Linked DNA regions of Drosophila melanogaster. The protein of the gene in region 3 interacts with the protein of the main gene of each other region in a pairwise test. Each region holds a gene or a part of one and is shown on either strand. Other genes may lie near its edges.

Region 1 (6,984 bases), on a different chromosome or scaffold from region 3:
TTTTTATTTTTCTGCACAATAAACAACACACTTAAGTATATTTGATTTGCGCAAAAGAATAGGAATTGGATAACCTAGCTATTGTAAAGCGATTTGCTAGAACTAGAATACTTTTCAAATTTTAAGACCGTATTTGAAATTATAATAATCACTTAATTTGAACATATAATATATCAACAATCCATTAACCTAAAAATTAATCTTGGGTCATTGCATTAAGTATTGATGGCTTAATTTACGTTACATATCCCCAAGTTCCAAGCCCATCTTTCTTGGAGTCTCTTTTATGTTCCATATTCGAGTACAATTGTTAATAACCTTTTGAAAAGCATTTGTATTATAAAAATTTCTATATTTAACTTTTATATACGGCATTTAGAATAGGAATAACTTAAGCTTAGGCGCAGCCTATTTACTATATTACATATCTACCATGGGGAAGTGGGTGCTACGTGCCCGGTACTGGATTCGTTCGCTTGGATGCCGCATCCTGCTGCTGGAAAAGGTGCACCCAATCTGGAGTGGCCTTTAGTTTGGCTTGAATGGGTCCCAAGTTGATCATGTTTCCACTACGTTGCTCGCGATTGGCGGTTACAGACATGAGTTCCTGCAGAAAACCCGGATCGAGACCCATATCCAAGTCAAAGCGTGTGTCCCCCAATTGGAGTTTAACGCGACCGGATTTGTACCTCAGAATCTTGCCGATCTGCCCTTCTTCCAGCTGCCGTAGTACACTGCCCTTGGGTCCGTTTGAGCATTTGTCTGCAGGACTTGCTGGTTCCGATTCACTGGTGGCCTGATGATCTCCTTTAGACGGTTCCGGATCTTCGGAATCGTCGCCCACACATGGCAACACATCTGGCAGTTGCATGAGAAAGATCTGCGCTTCGCTGGAGTCCAGAAAGTTACCAATGGTGCGTGGGTAGCGACCGTACTGCAGCGGAGGTTCCTCTAAACTGGCTGCCTGGGCAGCCACATGCAGCTGTTGCAAATGCTGGGCCACTGCCAAAGTGTCTAGGAGCGAAATCAAATTAGATTATGCCATTTTTAAAGCTTAGCGCCTTACCCTTAAGTGTTGAGGTTGAACTGGCGATTTCTTGCTTCGCAATCGGTGTCTTCTGGGTGACCCAGAGTCCTAACGTTTATAAACAAATAAAGCATGAATTTCTTCTGCCCGTGTGCATCAAAAAGTGCTTGTAAAACGTACCCTCTTTTAGCAGGATGGGCCTGAGTGCCATCTCAGTCTTGTTAGCCTCCTCTTCGCTGAGCTCGCCGCCACTGGCGTCCGACTCGCCCAAGAGCTCCTTGATCCGCTCGGCCTGGCTCTTGTCGTCCTTGCGATCCACCCGTTTCCTGGTCACGGACACCTCCTCACCGCCCCGTGCATATGCCGTTCCATTTCCTGTGGACCTTCGCACATGAACATCGCCTGCTCCTTCGGAGAAGAGTCCCTGGGTTTGGATGAGCGTGGAGTTGCCCCCGCCAGCGGAATTTCCACCTCGACCACGTGTTGCTCCAGTGCCGTTGCCACGTCCACCTCTGCGGCCGCTCCTTGGCTGCGTGGTGTCCTTGGATGTCTTGACATTGCTGTGAATCAAATGAGATGATGAAAAGAATGACTCCCCCTGGGCCATTCCACAACTCACGCATTTTTATTGCGCACAGCATTCAAATTGGGAGCAAAGACCTTTTTGCTGGCTGTCCCAGCGCCGCGCCCACCAAGGGTCAAGTCGCGGGCGGGGGTCAGCCTGGTCATTCCGTTTAGCGTCTCCAGTGGGCGTGCACCGCCACCAGACTGACCATTATTCGTGGTGGACCCACTGGCTCCACTGATGGTCGAAGCTGCTGCTGTGGTGACCGTCATCCTCTTCGCTGGCATGGCGTTCCATTCGCGCCGCCCGTCACCTCGAAAATTCGACCGAAGTCGCTGGGTTCTGGTTTCCCCGTAAGTCCTTTAGTTTTGGGCTAGAATTTCCGCAGAATTCTTTGATTTTCCTTTGAGGTTAATGGGAAAGCTGAGTCGATACACCACATGCCGATACACCGCAGTCGATAGACTTGAGTGTAGCCAGATGACTTTGGTTTTGCTCAATATTAATCGGATTTTGAAACTGTGATTGTAGCGGGTTTCTATCGGCGCTTAAAAAAAACCAGCATAATAACAAAGAGCGATATTACAAAACTGGCTTTTTGTTGCAGTAAATCCTAATGTAGTATTTTTCTATGCAACATGGATTCGAAACATAATCTCTATTTTGGTTGGGCAAATCCATCGTTGCGATCAAATCCATCTGGCAACGCTAGTTGAGCTCTACATTTTATAAACAAAGCAAACCGGCAAAATAATCTACGACTTTCCATGGCCAAAAAGTAACGAAATATAGCGGAAACTGGAGGAACCATGGCCAAGCGCTTTTCTGCCATGAAAGACTTCGCGCGGTGCAAGAAACCGCGCCTGGATGTTAGCGTTACCCGCGGATCAGCGCGACCCAGTCCACCGAGGAACAATTTCGATGGGATTCTCTGGGACGACGATGACGATGTCATCCTGATGGCCACCCAGCTGGCGGAGGCGGAAATCGAGGCGGAGGAGCGGAAAAAGAAGGGCGGAACAGAGGTGGACATCGGCAACAGCGAGGTCACCTTCAGCGAATTTGCACCCACTTTTCAGGGCTCAACCAGCACACAGCAAATGTTTCCGCCGCCACCGCCGCCACAAAAGAAGCCTACTTCCCTGGATATGGATGCGATTTTCGCGGATGATGATGATTTCGATTTTCTGGCCGTTACCCTCATGGACAGTGAGCCACAAAAGATGCCGGAGCCGAAGACCAGCACAAGTAGGATAACTACCAGCAGCATAAGTGTTCAGCAGAAAACCACGACCACGACGACCATCAATGCCACGCAATCCCGCCAGCAGGAGCATCAGCTAAAGTTTCTCATGGATAGGATTGAAGCCCTTAAGCGGGAAAACGCGCAGCTGGAAAAGAATTTGGGCGACAGTAAGGAACGCAATGAGATCAAGTCTGGTGAGGTAGGTGGACATCGGGGTGGAACTATAACACCGATTCTAGACCTTACAGAAACTAATCCATTTATATTTATTTCTCTAGGTTTCCTTACTTCGTGATGAGCTGAAGCACTTGCGCCAGCAGCTGCAGGCTAGCAAAATGGAAAAGCTGGCTTTGGCCGACGAAACGAATCGGGATTGCAACAAAAAAGTGGCAGAAGCGGCCAAACAAATTGCGGCCAAGGACATCGAGTTGAAGATTAAGAACGCCGAGTTCTCAAAGTTGAAGACACAGCAAAAAGCCCATGAAAGAAGCATGAATTCCAGCATGAGCATTTTACAGGCTGCTCCAGATCCTTTGGAGAAACGCTTATCACTTCGCTTGAATAGGCTTAACATACACAGATCTGTGCCCGGGCTGAAAACCGATAATGGCAGTGTGTTCGAATACAGCGAAAATGAGGATCAGACTAAGAAACGAAGAAATCATTTTGAACTGGAATTAAAGCAACTGCTACTTCATTACGCTCGGCTGCAGGCAAAGCCGGAATCTGTGGATAACCTCCTGCCAAGAATACTCTCGTCGGTCGGCAAGGTATTCACGGAGTTTGCTTCGTATGCTCAAAGTTTGGACTTTCCACACAACTGCATGCTGTATCCCTACAATCCCCACAACCTAGAGGAGGAAGTTCATCGCATTTCCCTGACCCATCAGAGCTGTTTGTATGATAACGAAAAGGCTGTTCCGCTGCGTCGCTTCATAGCTACCTTGGCTTTGATTTGCCGGCGAGAGGAAAGGATTTCTAGAGGTCTCACGGAGTGGAAAGAAAATGATCTGGGACTGCTAGATATGGCTATTGAAGCTATCACAAAACTAGGATTTTCCTACGAGGTCGGCCAACACTTTGGATTGCTGGAAGCCTTGACTTCACTCCTAAATAGCCTCCTACAAGAAAATGCCCTTCTTCAACATAACGAGGAGCTACTCTTCGATCTGCTTAAGCAGTTAGTTTTTACTCGTCCCAGTCCTTGGGTTTTTGCTGAGCTTAGCTCCTGCTTTTTAAGCTGCCTTAGACATCCCCAACTTATGGATAAAATGTGTGTGAATAGTCCCAAGGACTGCTTTGTATCGGATCGCGTTCGCTCCGTTTATCGATTTGGTCCCGACTCCTGTTTACTTCAGGTCTACGCGGGCCTACTCGAGCTATGCTTCTTTAGTGAAACTCCTCTGCGGCAGGACTACTTTCAGTTGCTGCTCAAGATCGGAGGAAATCATGTGCGATTCGCGTTCGAGTGCTTCAAAAACCCACCGGATTTCATACTTGAAATGCTGCCTTACTTTGCCGACGATGGCGACGAGGACTCCAGCGATGGTACTCTGATGAAAACAGGCACCAGTCTGAGCTTCAACTCCACAGGAGCTGTGCAGGGATCGGTCTCCAATGGATCGACATCAGCGTCTGTTTCGAACCCGAATCAAAATTCAAATTCAAGTACAACGCAGCGAGGAAAAGGCTGCGAGTGCTATGTAAAGTTGTGCCTCAGTGCGGTAACAATTGTCTTCCAGGTGATGCACCAATGGATGTTGCACAGCAGGAAAGCAGGTGCGTTTGAGCTAAAAAAAAATCATTTTCATATGATCAATGACACGAATCAATATTTGTGCTTTCTATTTAGGCACCGAAGAAGTTGGCGAGATCTCCCGCATCGCAGTGCACCTTCTGTCCCTTGTCTTTCACGAGTATTACCTCACCTGTCTGTTTCGCGACTCCGAGGAGACGACCAAGCATTACCTTAGCCTCATATGCAACTGGTGGAGCGAGCATGCGAACCTGCTTGGTTTTCAGTCAATACATTGTAAATGACCTAACAACATTCCATATTTTCCGTTGCTAACTTTTTAAATATTTTCCTGTCATTTAGTGCGTTTGTTAAACCAACTGGTTAAAGCCCATTTCATGCTGAAACCCCTTCATCTGGAGGCCAAGCCCAATAATCCAGTCAACGACCTCTCCGAATGGAAACGCATTGTCAAGAATGCGGATGACCAAAGGGCTGTGAAGTCGGCTGTGACAGTTGATCCCAGCAAATTACTCAACACCGACTTCTTTAGTGCCCTTAAACGGGAGGAGAACACTTTTGAGTAGTTATAGTTAGCTTAAACGTTTTAGTAATATATACATATAGGTGTGGCGTTAATTTATTGTGAAGTTTCAAATGCTATGTTAAGAATTGAAAAGGCTCGCTGCACAAATTTAGAGCTTAAAAAACGCATTCCAAAATACAAATATGTAATGCAGCGTTTAAAGAAACCGCTAAATAATCGATTTTTCATTTCGATATCAATTTACGAATCGATAATACAAAATATTTGTTGGTGGTTCAGCTTATCGTTTCGAAGGAACTTGATAAAACAGCTGATATGGCTCAATTTAACCAGTTCAGTTTGCATGGAACTAGTTTGTAAGCGCGATGCTTTTCTTAATTTTGTAAATATTTAGATGTTTTTCAGCATTTACATTTTAAACCCGTGCTTATTGTGTATAAAATAATGTATTCTGATTAAAAGTTCAACGTGCACTTATGGTGCTTACTGCAATAAGCGTGATTCAATGCAAATGCTTATATTTGTTGATTTAATAAACATTCGCAAAGGTGGGTTCAAATAAACAAATACTTCCTTCTCACAATAATAAGAAAGTATCATTGTAATATGATCATAGAACAAAACATCTAAGAACTTTTGTTTTTTTCGTTTCACATGCATATATTTTTAACATGCATTTCTGTATACATATATATATATGTATATATGTATATATGTATATAAATATATATATGTATGTATGTAAGATGTATGATGTATGATATACGTATGTATTATGATCCTTCCCCAATGTAATCAGAAATCATTCCTTCATATGATTATACCTGTACTCGCATATACAGAATATTAAATACATCTCTTTTTACCAGTTAAACGATTATTAAACTAAACTCTTATTTATTTATTTAGCCGTTTATTTATCTTAAATGATATTTATTTCCTTATCGTTATTTTCTTTTCATTATCTTTACTATATCATCTAAAGACTGCTTAATATAGTGAGGCATATTTTAAGGAATTCATTTGTAGAAGAGCCGAAAATTGCTGAGCCTGAAATGTAATCCTCAAAATTTTTCCGTGAGGCAATCTTATCTTTATCATCTTCAACTCAAGAATATCATCACGTTGCTCTTAGCATATCTATGAAGATTTTCCAATTATCTTAACAATGTCCCCGTGTGCAAAGTTTAATTTCGACAAACTTAACCGATGGCCACTCAATGGCTCCACTTAACTAATTTTTATAAATTATAATTTTATCAAGTGGTTCAGTTAAGCCGCCGACAATTCCGCTTTGTTTGGGGTGTGCTTACCAGAACACTTTATTATTTAATTCCGCAAAACGGATATTCTCTAGATCTACACGTAGAAAAGTTTCTTCATCAGATTAATTTTATTTTTATAAAATTATATTTTTAGAATTTTTTTCTTGTAAAATTGCGAATTTAAAAATTCTAAGACTATTTTACAACATCCAAAACGTTATCTGTTTTCTTCACAAAGGGGTTAAATTGCGTTTTAAATCGAAAAACCTAAGCGTATTTACAGCGTAAATTATGTATTACATGTGACTATTAAATAAGTGAATGAAACCATTTCACCAATGTTGAAATGTACAAGATGTGAAGAATCTGAAGTGAAAAGTAAATTGTTTTCTGTGCTGATCATGCGTGCAGTGATAACCGCAAAGCTTCCAGATATACTTTTTGTAATTCAGAGATAATTTCGTAACTAGTGCACCATACATGGGCTCAGTCGGTTGGCGAGGTCTCATCTGAAAAGTCGTATAACTATGGAGCGGGAAATTTACAGTGCGGAATACTTCGAGAGAGCTTTGGCGAGAGCTTATGGTTGTGAAATGCTT
Region 2 (4,941 bases), on a different chromosome or scaffold from region 3:
TAATGATCAGAAGCTTAAAGGTCACGATCTAGTCTGACATTTTCACACCAACATTGCCAAAACATTCACCAGCCCGAGGCACTTTTCCCGGAATTTTCTTGTTAGCTTCAAGCTTTGCCTTTTATTGCCAGCAATTCTATTGTCTTTTATGTCAACTCACCAGACACAAGAGTTGATGAATTTTGTCGCTTCGCAGGATGGGCGACTTTAGAAGGCACTCTCGCACAGACACAGGCACACTCACACTCACGCAGCAATCGAGCCTGAATGTGTTTGTTGTTGTTGTGTTGTATTGATGTACGTATTGGTGTGTTTATTTCGATGCGCGCCAAAAAGTATGCAATGCGAACTGTGAGTCTTGTGTTGCGGGTCTGCGTTTCGGTTTCCGACTGACGATGGCCTGATGGCTGGTGGCTTGATGTCTGATGGCTGGTAATGTGATTAGTTGGCCCGTCTATCGATGCTAGTGCGCTACTGTGTGCGAGTATATTTTAATTTAATTATGTCGCTCTCGTTTCAATTACGAAAACCGCTCGCAGCGAAGACACGCACTAATAAACAAAGGCCAGCAATAACAGAATAACGAAAAAGTAAGCGACGGCTGGTATCGCTGCCGAGGGAAAACTGAAGGAAAATGTGTCGAATGAGTGGTACCAAGACCAAGACCAACCAGCGAATGTGTTCTGCCTCTCCCTCTCCGCTCTCGCTTTCTCACTCTTTGTCCGGCTATTAGCTGCTCTCTGGCTTTTCCGCTGATGAAAGTGCTGGCAATCGAATGCAACTGCCTCCCACAAGCGACTGAATGCGTTGCATATGCCAAGGCGCACGTTGAGTCCACGAGGAACGTGTGAAAGTGGAACGCGCCAGACTGGAGTAAATTTTGAGTGAGTACAAAGTGCACTTTCGAGTGCCCGGGAACGAGTGGAATTGTGCAACACCTGTGCAAAGGGGATTGTAAATGGGGTGGCCAGCACTATTCTTTCTTTATCGCCGGAAAAACGGGCAGTCGAAATTTTAATTGGGTTTGTCCAACTTACGGCACACAATTCAATTGAACCGCTCCCCCACTCGGGGCTCATTAACCTGGAGGGTTGGAACTATATCGGTGGGACATAAACTCGTTACGATTGCCTTGGTTTTTCGTAGGGTAGTTGCTGTTCTAGAACTTCCCTAGGGTTCATTTTTTTACGCACATGTTGTTTCATTTTCTCCGCTTTTTATGAGTTTCTAAGCTAACATCAATAAACTAAAACGTAGTGGTGGTATTCCAATTTCAATACGTGCTAGCTGTTCTAATTAAAAACGTAAAAATGCTGAAAAGTCAAAGCAACTTTAATATTATAAAGCATGAAGGTAAAATATCAATATAAATTATAGTAATACGGCTGCAATGGGGCTTATAAGGTATATTGGATAGCAATCAATACAATGGTGGATCAATGCATGGGAGCTTCCATTAATGCCGTATCAGAGTTCAACATAATTATAATTTGTGTCCCTCGTGGCACGTTTACATTAGCAGGGCATCTGGGCACCATCAACAGCTGACACAGAAACACTTTTACTGGCTGCACTTTGTAAAATGGATCTCTCGGCGGCATTACCTGAAAGCGCTCCCAAAAGATGCCATTCTCGGTCCGTCTACTGTCATCCGGCATGGAGATGATGACGCAGCTTAAGGGCGGCTGTACACCACCAGCTCCACAGTCAACCTCACCCCGCAATCCCGGCCAGATTTCCCCTGACAATGACTGGCACTCGTTCACGGACTCCGGGGCTGACTTCTCCGCCGCCAGCAGGTGTTTCCATTAACATCGGGACAATAAAGGCAGCGCACGCACTGCAATATGCAACAGTTGCAGACACGCAGGAAAAGCGTTGGAAATGGGAAATATGGCTGGCTGTGGGTGGTAGGTGGTGGGTGTTGGGTGCTTAAACGCACATTTGTAAGTAGTTGTGTAATCTATCCATGAACGTCGCTTCCGCTTTGCATTTTATATGCTCAACGCATCGTTTGGCCGGCGCAAATTGAGTTTCGTTGTCGTTGCTGCTGCTGAAATATCTGCTCTCGGATGGATAGATGGATGGATGGATAGATAGATGTCTGGATGAATGCCTCGGATATATCCCTTTTCCCCACAGCCATCGATTGGTAATGACGTTTGGTAGAGCCCACCCACCTTTAGGTTCATCCACTTTGTGGCTTAAGGCAAGAACGAGCATCAAGCCAATTAAAACTTCTAGCCCATCAACTTAATTAAGAAAAGGCCGAAATTATGCGACTATCATAAAAGTGCGGTGAACGTACGGTATCAAGAAAGATTTTCCTAATTGGTAAGCCATAAATTGTATTAATAAATTTTATTAGTTATACACCTGCTTAGAACGAATAACCTATGTATTTGCCAGACGTTGTAAACCGTTTTCAACGCTTTAATATGCTTTTAGATGCGGATTGTTATTTCATTATACAGATGTTAACATCCAGAAACAGTCCGTTTTAAGGATTGGGACTAGCAGGTCATACATAGTAACATGTTCAAGTATTGTTTTATATGCGTCATTCTAGCCTGGGCTTCTCGTGATGTTCTCGCTAACAAAACGGAAAATCCGCTGCTAATTGATCAAGTGGCTATAAATCAACAACAATGGTTCACATTCATTGCGCTGAAGGAAAGTGAAATGCAACAGAAAATAGTGAGGATCGAAAGATCGATAGAAGAACGATTGATGGCCATGCAAAGCAAGTTGGCATACGCACTGAACGAGCTGCAGACCATAATGGGCAACCAGAGTGTGGAGACTCTCGAGAAACTACGAATCTCGCACAGGATTAATCCGGCGCTTTTCCAGAGAATGGGCACAAGACGCTTCTACATTGAGAAGGAAAACAAACAAAATTGGTTTGGCGCCTCAAACACCTGTCGTCAATTGGGCGGTCACATTGCCACCATCAGGGATGAGCAGGAGTTTAATGAGATCTTCTCAAGAGCGCCGGCCGGCGTCTTTTGGATAGATATGAATGCTATGTTCAAGAACGGCCTTTTTGCATCATCACTCACCGGCAGATCGCCGCCGTTCTTTAAGTGGAAGAAAGAAGAAAGGGGCAATAAGTTCGATTGCGTTAATGTATACAACAAGGAAATGTACAATGAAAATTGTTTCAACACCCATTTGTTCATATGTCAAGCCGAGCAGTGGGATTGATGCGAATGCGAAAATAATAAATTAAGTTATTTTCATTTTGCATCTCGGCAATTTACCGACAGCTTTTAATAAAGTTATGAGCCTACTGTCTTTTTTATTTTACTAGCCCAAAAATGAAGTACATAACTGTTTTCTCAGCCAAGAGGATCATTAAGATTATTGGGTAATGAAAATTAAAATATTTTCCCTTAAGTACAAAACCAGGCCAATCCATATGGGGTTTCCATCAAGTGCCCAGAAAGCGGTGCTTGGTATTTCAAAATGCCTTACACACATGACGTGTCCACGTTCTGTGCAGAAATAAGGGCGGCCAGTGCCACGCCCCTCCACAAGGAAGCCACCCAAATGGTGACAAAAATGCTTTTGATTTGTGGGCCATTCGCACACCCATAGCCACCCACGCTTATTAGAATCCTGCCATTGTGGCAGCCAAAGTGCAACTAGCAGAGACAGATAGCAAACATCCAACAATGTGGAGCAGAGCGCAATTTATGACCAGGGGCGAGATTTCGAAACGGACTAATAGGATTGCGGCTCCAATTTTTGGGGCTTTTCATTTCAGATACCTCCGCACATACGATGCAAAATTATATCTCGAGTTTTCACTTACGTTATTATACGCTCTAGTGTGCAAGTCTTTAGTTTTTCCAATTATTACTATTCAATAATACTAATATACCAATATTGTATTTTGTTATAATAATAAGATGCTATTACCGTTACATTATTAACAAATGGGTAGTTGGAATTCCCCTTTCAAAAATAAAGATATAAAAAAAATCGATCTCTATGTTGTAGGGAACTAGTTCATTGAGATTAGTTGCAGAACTCATTGGAATTATTCAAAACTCATTATTCAAAATATAGATAAATAAATATAGAAGATATATACTTAAATGTGTTATTTTGGAGTGACTTCAGTTAAGTTCGAATTATTTAATTGAATTTACCGCGCATTAGTGTTACCATTTTACACTTACACCATCAAAATATTTCTAGTATTTTCAATCGGTCGTGAACTGGGCAATGAAAAGCCATCTGGCAACACTGTTCCATGACGCTTGAATTTTAGCGGACAAACTCGAAAAGAAATAGCAAAAAGACGACGCTTGCTACGAAAATAGTTATTCCTCGCAAAAACCCTGTAACGTGTAAACAAAGGCCGCTGCCACGATGCCGCGCACCAAGATACCAAAGAACTCCAAACGCAACCGCGAGGTGGCCAATCGCGAAGAGAAGGTGCGCCTGTACGAGCTGAAAATGGATTCCCGCCTTATCAGCATCGATTCGCTGGAGACCAAGTTCCTCTCCGCCGTGGACCACCAGGTGAAGACACTGCTCGGCCAGGTGCAGAAGGAGCTGGCCAATCTGAAGATGCCCGAAGTGCTGCGCCTCTTCGAGGAACTGGACCGCTTCAGCGACTTCAAGGCCAGCGATCAGACGCAGCTGCTCGCCTCGATGTCCATGAGTGGCAGCGCCATCGAGGGCCACGCCCCCTCCGCCACTGGAAGTCGCAATGACGAAGGTTTGTTGGCCTATATATGTATGCTGTTATACCAATCTGCTGGCAAGGATGTCATCACCCGAATTACAAATGAATACCGGTTTTACATGCCAAATTGGCAAATTCCATTGTATATTCGGTATTCATCATACCCTCTTGTTGCCATTTTCACTTTTAATTTTAATCTAACTGGTGTCCGGCTTTGTGACTAACTCAACTTTGCTTTCTAA
Region 3 (6,158 bases):
TCGATGGCCTCCTTGTGCTTGCGATCTTTGGCCAGCTGGGTGCAGCGAATGAGCAGCGCCTCGAATTCCACCTGCGGGTAGGTCTGAGCTAGCTTTTGGCTAAGCTGTTGCACTTGGTCGCCGGCATTAGTGTAAAGTGCTAGCAGACAGTTGTTGAGGGCTATGACCTGCTTCTGGCGCGAGGTGAGCCTAGACTCACAGGCGTCGGCTAGGGCAGCGCGTATCTTCTTCTTGGAATCGAAGACGTTCTGGTCCTTATTGACCACCACCAAGTTGTTGCTTGCCACGGCCACCAGGGCTGCGTCCTTTGGCTTATGACGCAGGCAGTCCGCGTAGATGCTGGACGCCTCCTTGGTCTTGCCCTGCAGTTGGAGGACATAGGCCAGTTGGACGCGAATGACGTCTACCTCTTCAATGATCTCCTCCTCGGAGGCACACTCATCCTCAAGACAGAGCTTCTCGCTGGTGCGCAACTTGCGCTCGGCTTCAGCATACTTCTGCCGATTAGCCTGGATGCACGCGCTGTTGAAGTACTGCTCGTAGGTGTCTTCCGGCACCTCGGGCACCTCCTTGGTCTGATCCACAGCCAAGTTGGCGGCCACGGCGCTGAGATTGGTCCGACGCTCTTCCTCGTACTCGTCACTGGTGTTCTTAATGATGTCGCGATAGGAGTCTAGGCACTCATCGTAGCGCTCCAAGCGGTACAGGACCTGGGTTCGGAGCTCCTTAAGGTTCGGAGGCAGGGGCTGCAGACCCGCATCGTCTATGGTCTTAAGCGCTTGCTGCTGCTTGTTAAGTTGGTACTCGCAGTAGGCCTTCTCAAAGAAAAGCGAGGACAGTCGATTTTTCTCAATAAACTTGTAGGCCTCCTCGAACTTGGAAAGCTGCACCAGGCAGACTACCTTGCAGTGCAGGGCGGTGGGATCGTCGGGCGCTACGCCTAGGACTATGAGAGATCATAGGGAGTCATCTTCTGGATTATAACCTCGGTAATCTGAAAAACTTACTGCGATTCACTGCCTTGACAGCCTTGTCAAACTCCTGGTTATTGCCGAACTTATTCACATCAGCGTAAGCCGCCTTTATGAGCGCCTCCTTGGGATTAGCGTCCTTTGACATCCTGTTTGCTCAGCACGTTAGTGGGTGGTAATATATATTTTATTCACTGACTTAAACTTTCGACTTTCCGTTTAACATGCAAGTTTTTACAGCTGTAGACACATCAGCAATGCGGACCTGCCAGATCGCTTCTGTGTGCAACCAGAGATGCCAGATGGCGGAAACAGTTAAGACATTTAATTTTTTAAACTATTTACATTTAATTAATAACTTATGCATAAATATCTATGAATGGGACATTTTATTATTAGTTATTAAAAACTGAAACGCTAAATGATGTGTACTAAAATCTTAATCCATGAAGTGCATTTCACTGTTTGATTATCAATTTCGTTTCACTATTTGCCATTATGGCACATGTAATTCATTAAATAATTGTTTTTTAATTCTTTGTTAAGTTATAATTTTCTTGTTCATCTATATCCACACACTTCTTTGAGCCGCTGGTATTTTGGGCTCCGCGTATCTGGCCACACTTGCATATTCGCTGGCGACGCCTTTGATCCAAACTCTGCGCCCGGATTATTGGATTATTTGACTTGACTATTGGAAAATGTCCGTTGAGGTGGATTTCGTCGACAAGAAGGAGGTGCACCTCCGCACCCTGAAGCAGTCCGGTCACGTGGGATTCGACAGCTTGCCTGACCAACTGGTCAACAAGAGTGTCCAGAATGGATTCGTCTTCAACGTCATGTGTATAGGTGTGTATATGCGGGTGAACTTTGCGTGTGTGCGTGTGTATGCGGCACAGTGAATCAACCGAAGTTTTGCTTGCATACAAAACAGTGGTGACCAAAGCAATAGCACTGATTTTTTATATTCCATAAAGGAGTCACTTGGAGAAGGTTTCAAACTTTTGTTGCTTCTTAACTCAAAGATGGCTTTGTTTGCACACCAATTAGAAATTGGACATACAGTGGTAGCTCGATGCAGAGAGAATGAAATAAAAACCGAGGTGTGTGCTTTTTATTTGTTAAACTTTAATACGAGTAAAATCAGTAAAATCATATTAGAAATACAATTATTTATTGAAAGCAAAGACTATTGCACAGCACATCTTGAAATAAAGATGCTATTGTTTTGAACACCGCTGTGCTATGTACTCAAGTGTCTCATGTTGGAGTGCATTGCTCAGATAAAGTGAATCACTTAGGTACATAAAAGCGGGTAAACAATTGAAATAACCAGACGCCCAGATACGATTAGTATGCAAAGTGGCCGGCAATCGATTGCCTCCGCCACTTTCTACAATTTCACCCTGACACCAATGCCGCAGTGCTTCTATGGCCAATTGAGCTCACTTAGGCTAAGGTTCCCCAAATCTGGCACAAATCTGACCCGCATTTCGAAATCTTTACGCTCCGCAGGCGAAACCGGACTGGGCAAGTCGACGCTGATGGACACGCTGTTCAACACCAGCTTCGAGTCCACGCCGAGTCCCCACACTTTGCCGAGCGTCAAGTTGAAGGCACACACCTACGAGCTGCAGGAGAGCAATGTGCGACTCAAGCTCACCATCTGCGACACGGTTGGCTACGGCGATCAGATCAACAAGGACGACTCGTTCAAGGCGGTGGTGGACTACATCGACGCACAGTTCGAGAACTATCTGCAGGAGGAGCTGAAGATCAAGCGATCGCTGGTGACATGCCACGACAGCCGCATCCACATCTGCCTCTACTTTATTTGCCCCACTGGGCACGGCCTCAAATCGCTGGACCTGGTGTGCATGAAGAAGCTGGACAGCAAGGTGAACATAATTCCGGTGATTGCCAAGGCGGATACCATTTCCAAGGTTGAGCTACAGCGCTTCAAGGCGAAGATCATTCAGGAGCTAAACGCCAATGGAGTGCACATCTACCAGTTCCCCACCGACGATGAGACGGTGGCCGAGACCAACACCAGCATGAACTCGCACATTCCCTTCGCCGTGGTGGGCAGCACGGAGTTTATTAAGGTGGGCAACAAGCTCATCCGCGCTCGCCAGTACCCCTGGGGCACGGTGCAGGTGGAGAACGAGACGCACTGCGACTTTGTGAAGCTGCGCGAGATGCTCATTCGCACCAACATGGAGGATATGCGCGAAAAGACACACACGCGCCACTACGAGCTGTATCGCCAGAAGAGGCTGGAGCAAATGGGCTTCAGCGATGTGGACAGCGACAACAAGCCCATCTCGTTCCAGCAGACGTTCGAGGCAAAGCGCTCCAACCATTTGGCCGAGCTGCAGTCCAAGGAGGAGGAGGTTCGTCAGATGTTCGTGCAGCGCGTTAAGGAGAAGGAGGCCGAGCTGAAGGAGAGCGAGAAGGACCTGCACGCCAAGTTCGAGAAGCTAAAGCGGGATCACGCCGAGGAGAAGCGCAAGCTGGAAGAGTCGCGCAAGGCGCTCGAGGAGGACTACCTTGACTTCCAGCGGCGCAAGCAGCAGTTGGCCACCGCCCACCACACGCTCACCCTCGGCAAGAGCAAGAAGAAGTAGAATCCGGCGCCGCCGCCTCACAATGTATTGAGAATTCTGTGCGGTTCGCTTATCCCAAAGTAATTATTGCTTTCTCATCTCGTTGTCTTTCATTTGTACTATTAAGTTTACTTCAAATATTAACATATACACAACTACACGCATATGTACGCAGGCATATAATGATTATGTATTTACAACTAACGAATAAATCGAACTTAGTATTTTAACAAAGTAGAAAAGAGCTGTTTGCCGGAAACTTGTATTCAAAAAATTGTAAACTTTTGTCGATATAATGTGTTTTTAAGTGTGTATTGAAGGCACCGCTGGATAAAGACAACAAAATAACATTTTATCTAAGATTATCCTGGTTTCCTTAGAAGTCACTGATTGATATGTATCAATACATATTAAGTTTATATTTTCCTTGAATTTCTTTTAAGCTCCGCTTTTTAAATACAAAAACATGGTAATTTGAATTTCAAGATTGGCGGGCTTTTCGTAGGACGTAAGTGTAGTACGGCCTTATTTTACTTGTCTTGTGCTTGCCACCTGGTCACACTGTTACCCACTCATTCACTGCAGGCTGCAAAAATTATAGAACAAATTAAAAACGCAATAATAGAATCACCGCAGCGAATTCGACGCAATCACGGAGTCCAGTGCTCCGTAACCCAAACGAAAGCAATTAACCGTGTTCAACGTAGAGAATAGTCCATGAAAGTGGGTGTATCCGTTGGCAAAAAGCAAGATACCCCTTTGTGTTTGTTTTTTGTTCGTTATAATTTTGTTTGTCGCTCGGTTTGGATTGCGATTTAATGGTAAGGGAGGGGACTCGCCGCAGGGGTGCTCCCAAGTGATTTTCCATAGCCAGCGCCGCCGAGTGGACGGGAAATGCCAATCGGCATGACGAACATGTCGCCAGCAGCGTCATCACTGGTTTTCCTCGCTCTTCTGCAGACAGGTATGGATAATGCTAATGGTGGCAGTGGGTAGTGGTTAATGGTTAATGGCTGGTGCAGTGTGGATATGGTAGTCCAGAAACGGGGTCATTAATGATTTCCCTCCGACATTGCAGTTACCTGCTACACCGTCATCATCACTGCTCCCGAACAGGCCCTCATCGGATCCACCATCAATGTGTCCGCCCAGCTCTTCGATGGCGACAAACCGGCTGACGGAGGCAGGCCCTACAGGTTCACATGGTCCGACAGTGCTGGCCATCGAAAGGTAACGATTCCACCTCCATTTCCCCAACTGCTCCCCCTGCAGAACGTGTTCAAACAAAGAAAACGGTGACACGACTAATTGCCTGCGAATGCAAACGCCAATAGTGCAAGCAAATCCACCAGCCTAGGGTTCGCATCTACGCCCATCAAACTGGCTCATTAAAATGGTCAGGAGAACTAGTACTAGGTGGTTTGCCTGCCATCAACGCAGCAGAACAGTATTTCATTAATGCAAATATCTCTGATTACAAAATATTTTGAAAGTTCTCGATTTCGGTTAAATTTAAAGTTTTAAGCTCCTGCTAATAGACCATTACAAAAGTTTGTTCTAAATCGATATCACAACTCGTAATTGCTAAACAAGAATTACTCTTTAGATCAAAAGACGTAACTGTTTTTATTCAAAATGCATTTTCAAGAAAAAATCTTTAGAAACCTTATTTCAAATTCAAACTTAAGATTTTTATATATAAGCTTATTAACTAACTAACATGAGCATATGTAATATTGAACATAATTATACTGATCCGTATCTGTTTCTTTAAATATTATCAAATGAAATTATCAATGTTAATGATTCTTATTCCATAGAAGTCATAAATATTTTATTATTTACGATGACTAAAAACACATTTTAAACACCCTAAGCTAGAGCTTACATATACAAACAGATGCGAATACCAGTTCTAATCTCAGCCCTGTGCCATCAATTGAAATGGCGTCATTTGAATGGTAATTTTGCACAATTACTATTAAGCGACAGCTTTTCCGATTGTGCCTGGTACGTGGCCATATCAGTGCCAAACGGTGGCTGCTATTGTGAACGAATTTGCATGCAGAGTGGCTTAAAAGTGATACCAAATAACACTAAACACTTCTCTTTGTGCCCACAGGTGATTGAAACGAACAGCGTTAGCAGCAATTGGTCTGTGGTCTTCACGCAAGAACAACCGGCGACGCATGTCATCAAGGTGGAAGTGGAGAAGTTCGTCACATTTTTTTGGGTGACGGAGGCTAAGGCCTCGAGGGGAATCAAGCTGGACAGCTTGCTCGGCGGCAGCCTGGAGCTGATTCAGAACAATGTGATGCGACCCCATGAGTTTGTGTCCACCCAGGAGGCGGTGAATCACAGCGTATCACTTTCCGATGCGGACCTACTTTTTCTGCAGTCGAAGGGTTATCGCATTCTGACGTATTGGTTTCAGAACTGCACATATCTCGGCATGTCCAGTGCGTTGGACTATGTGGCCACATATCCGAAAGCTGAGCAATATTATGACATGGAGGCGTTAGTGGTGGCTTCACTGGAACTTCCGCCGGAGCCGACGCCCTCAACTACGACGACCACCACC

What was found. Proteins that work in one complex are often made in the same cells at the same time.
Region 1: the proteins of Septin2 (region 3) and mus304 interact in a two-hybrid assay, tested with the Drosophila melanogaster proteins (one large-scale study listed by BioGRID).
Region 2: the proteins of Septin2 (region 3) and lectin-30A interact in a two-hybrid assay, tested with the Drosophila melanogaster proteins (one large-scale study listed by BioGRID).

Annotation. Positions count from the first base shown.
Region 1 is NT_037436.4:18,107,514-18,114,497, forward strand, and holds mus304 (mutagen-sensitive 304), read left to right. Parts: upstream 1-2,300; 5' UTR 2,301-2,401; coding exon 2,402-3,037; intron 3,038-3,116; coding exon 3,117-4,617; intron 4,618-4,690; coding exon 4,691-4,870; intron 4,871-4,936; coding exon 4,937-5,160; 3' UTR 5,161-5,334; downstream 5,335-6,984. Other genes in the region: Polr3D (RNA polymerase III subunit D), read right to left, coding at 449-1,014, 1,067-1,135, 1,208-1,587, 1,647-1,879; CG32195 (uncharacterized protein), read left to right, coding at 6,913-6,984. UniProt on the Drosophila melanogaster protein: DNA damage checkpoint protein required for chromosome break repair and for genomic stability during development.
Region 2 is NT_033779.5:9,252,426-9,257,366, reverse strand, and holds lectin-30A (lectin-30A), read left to right. Parts: upstream 1-2,512; 5' UTR 2,513-2,535; coding exon 2,536-3,207; 3' UTR 3,208-3,291; downstream 3,292-4,941. Other genes in the region: borr (borealin-related), read left to right, coding at 4,381-4,732.
Region 3 is NT_033777.3:20,583,786-20,589,943, reverse strand, and holds Septin2 (septin 2), read left to right. Parts: upstream 1-1,587; 5' UTR 1,588-1,672; coding exon 1,673-1,820; exon of another isoform or gene 1,821-1,941; intron 1,942-1,948; exon of another isoform or gene 1,949-2,074; intron 2,075-2,486; coding exon 2,487-3,598; 3' UTR 3,599-3,815; downstream 3,816-6,158. Other genes in the region: Srp72 (signal recognition particle 72), read right to left, coding at 1-946, 1,008-1,119; CG16953 (uncharacterized protein), read left to right, coding at 4,472-4,541, 4,656-4,807, 5,700-6,158. UniProt on the Drosophila melanogaster protein: Involved in cytokinesis.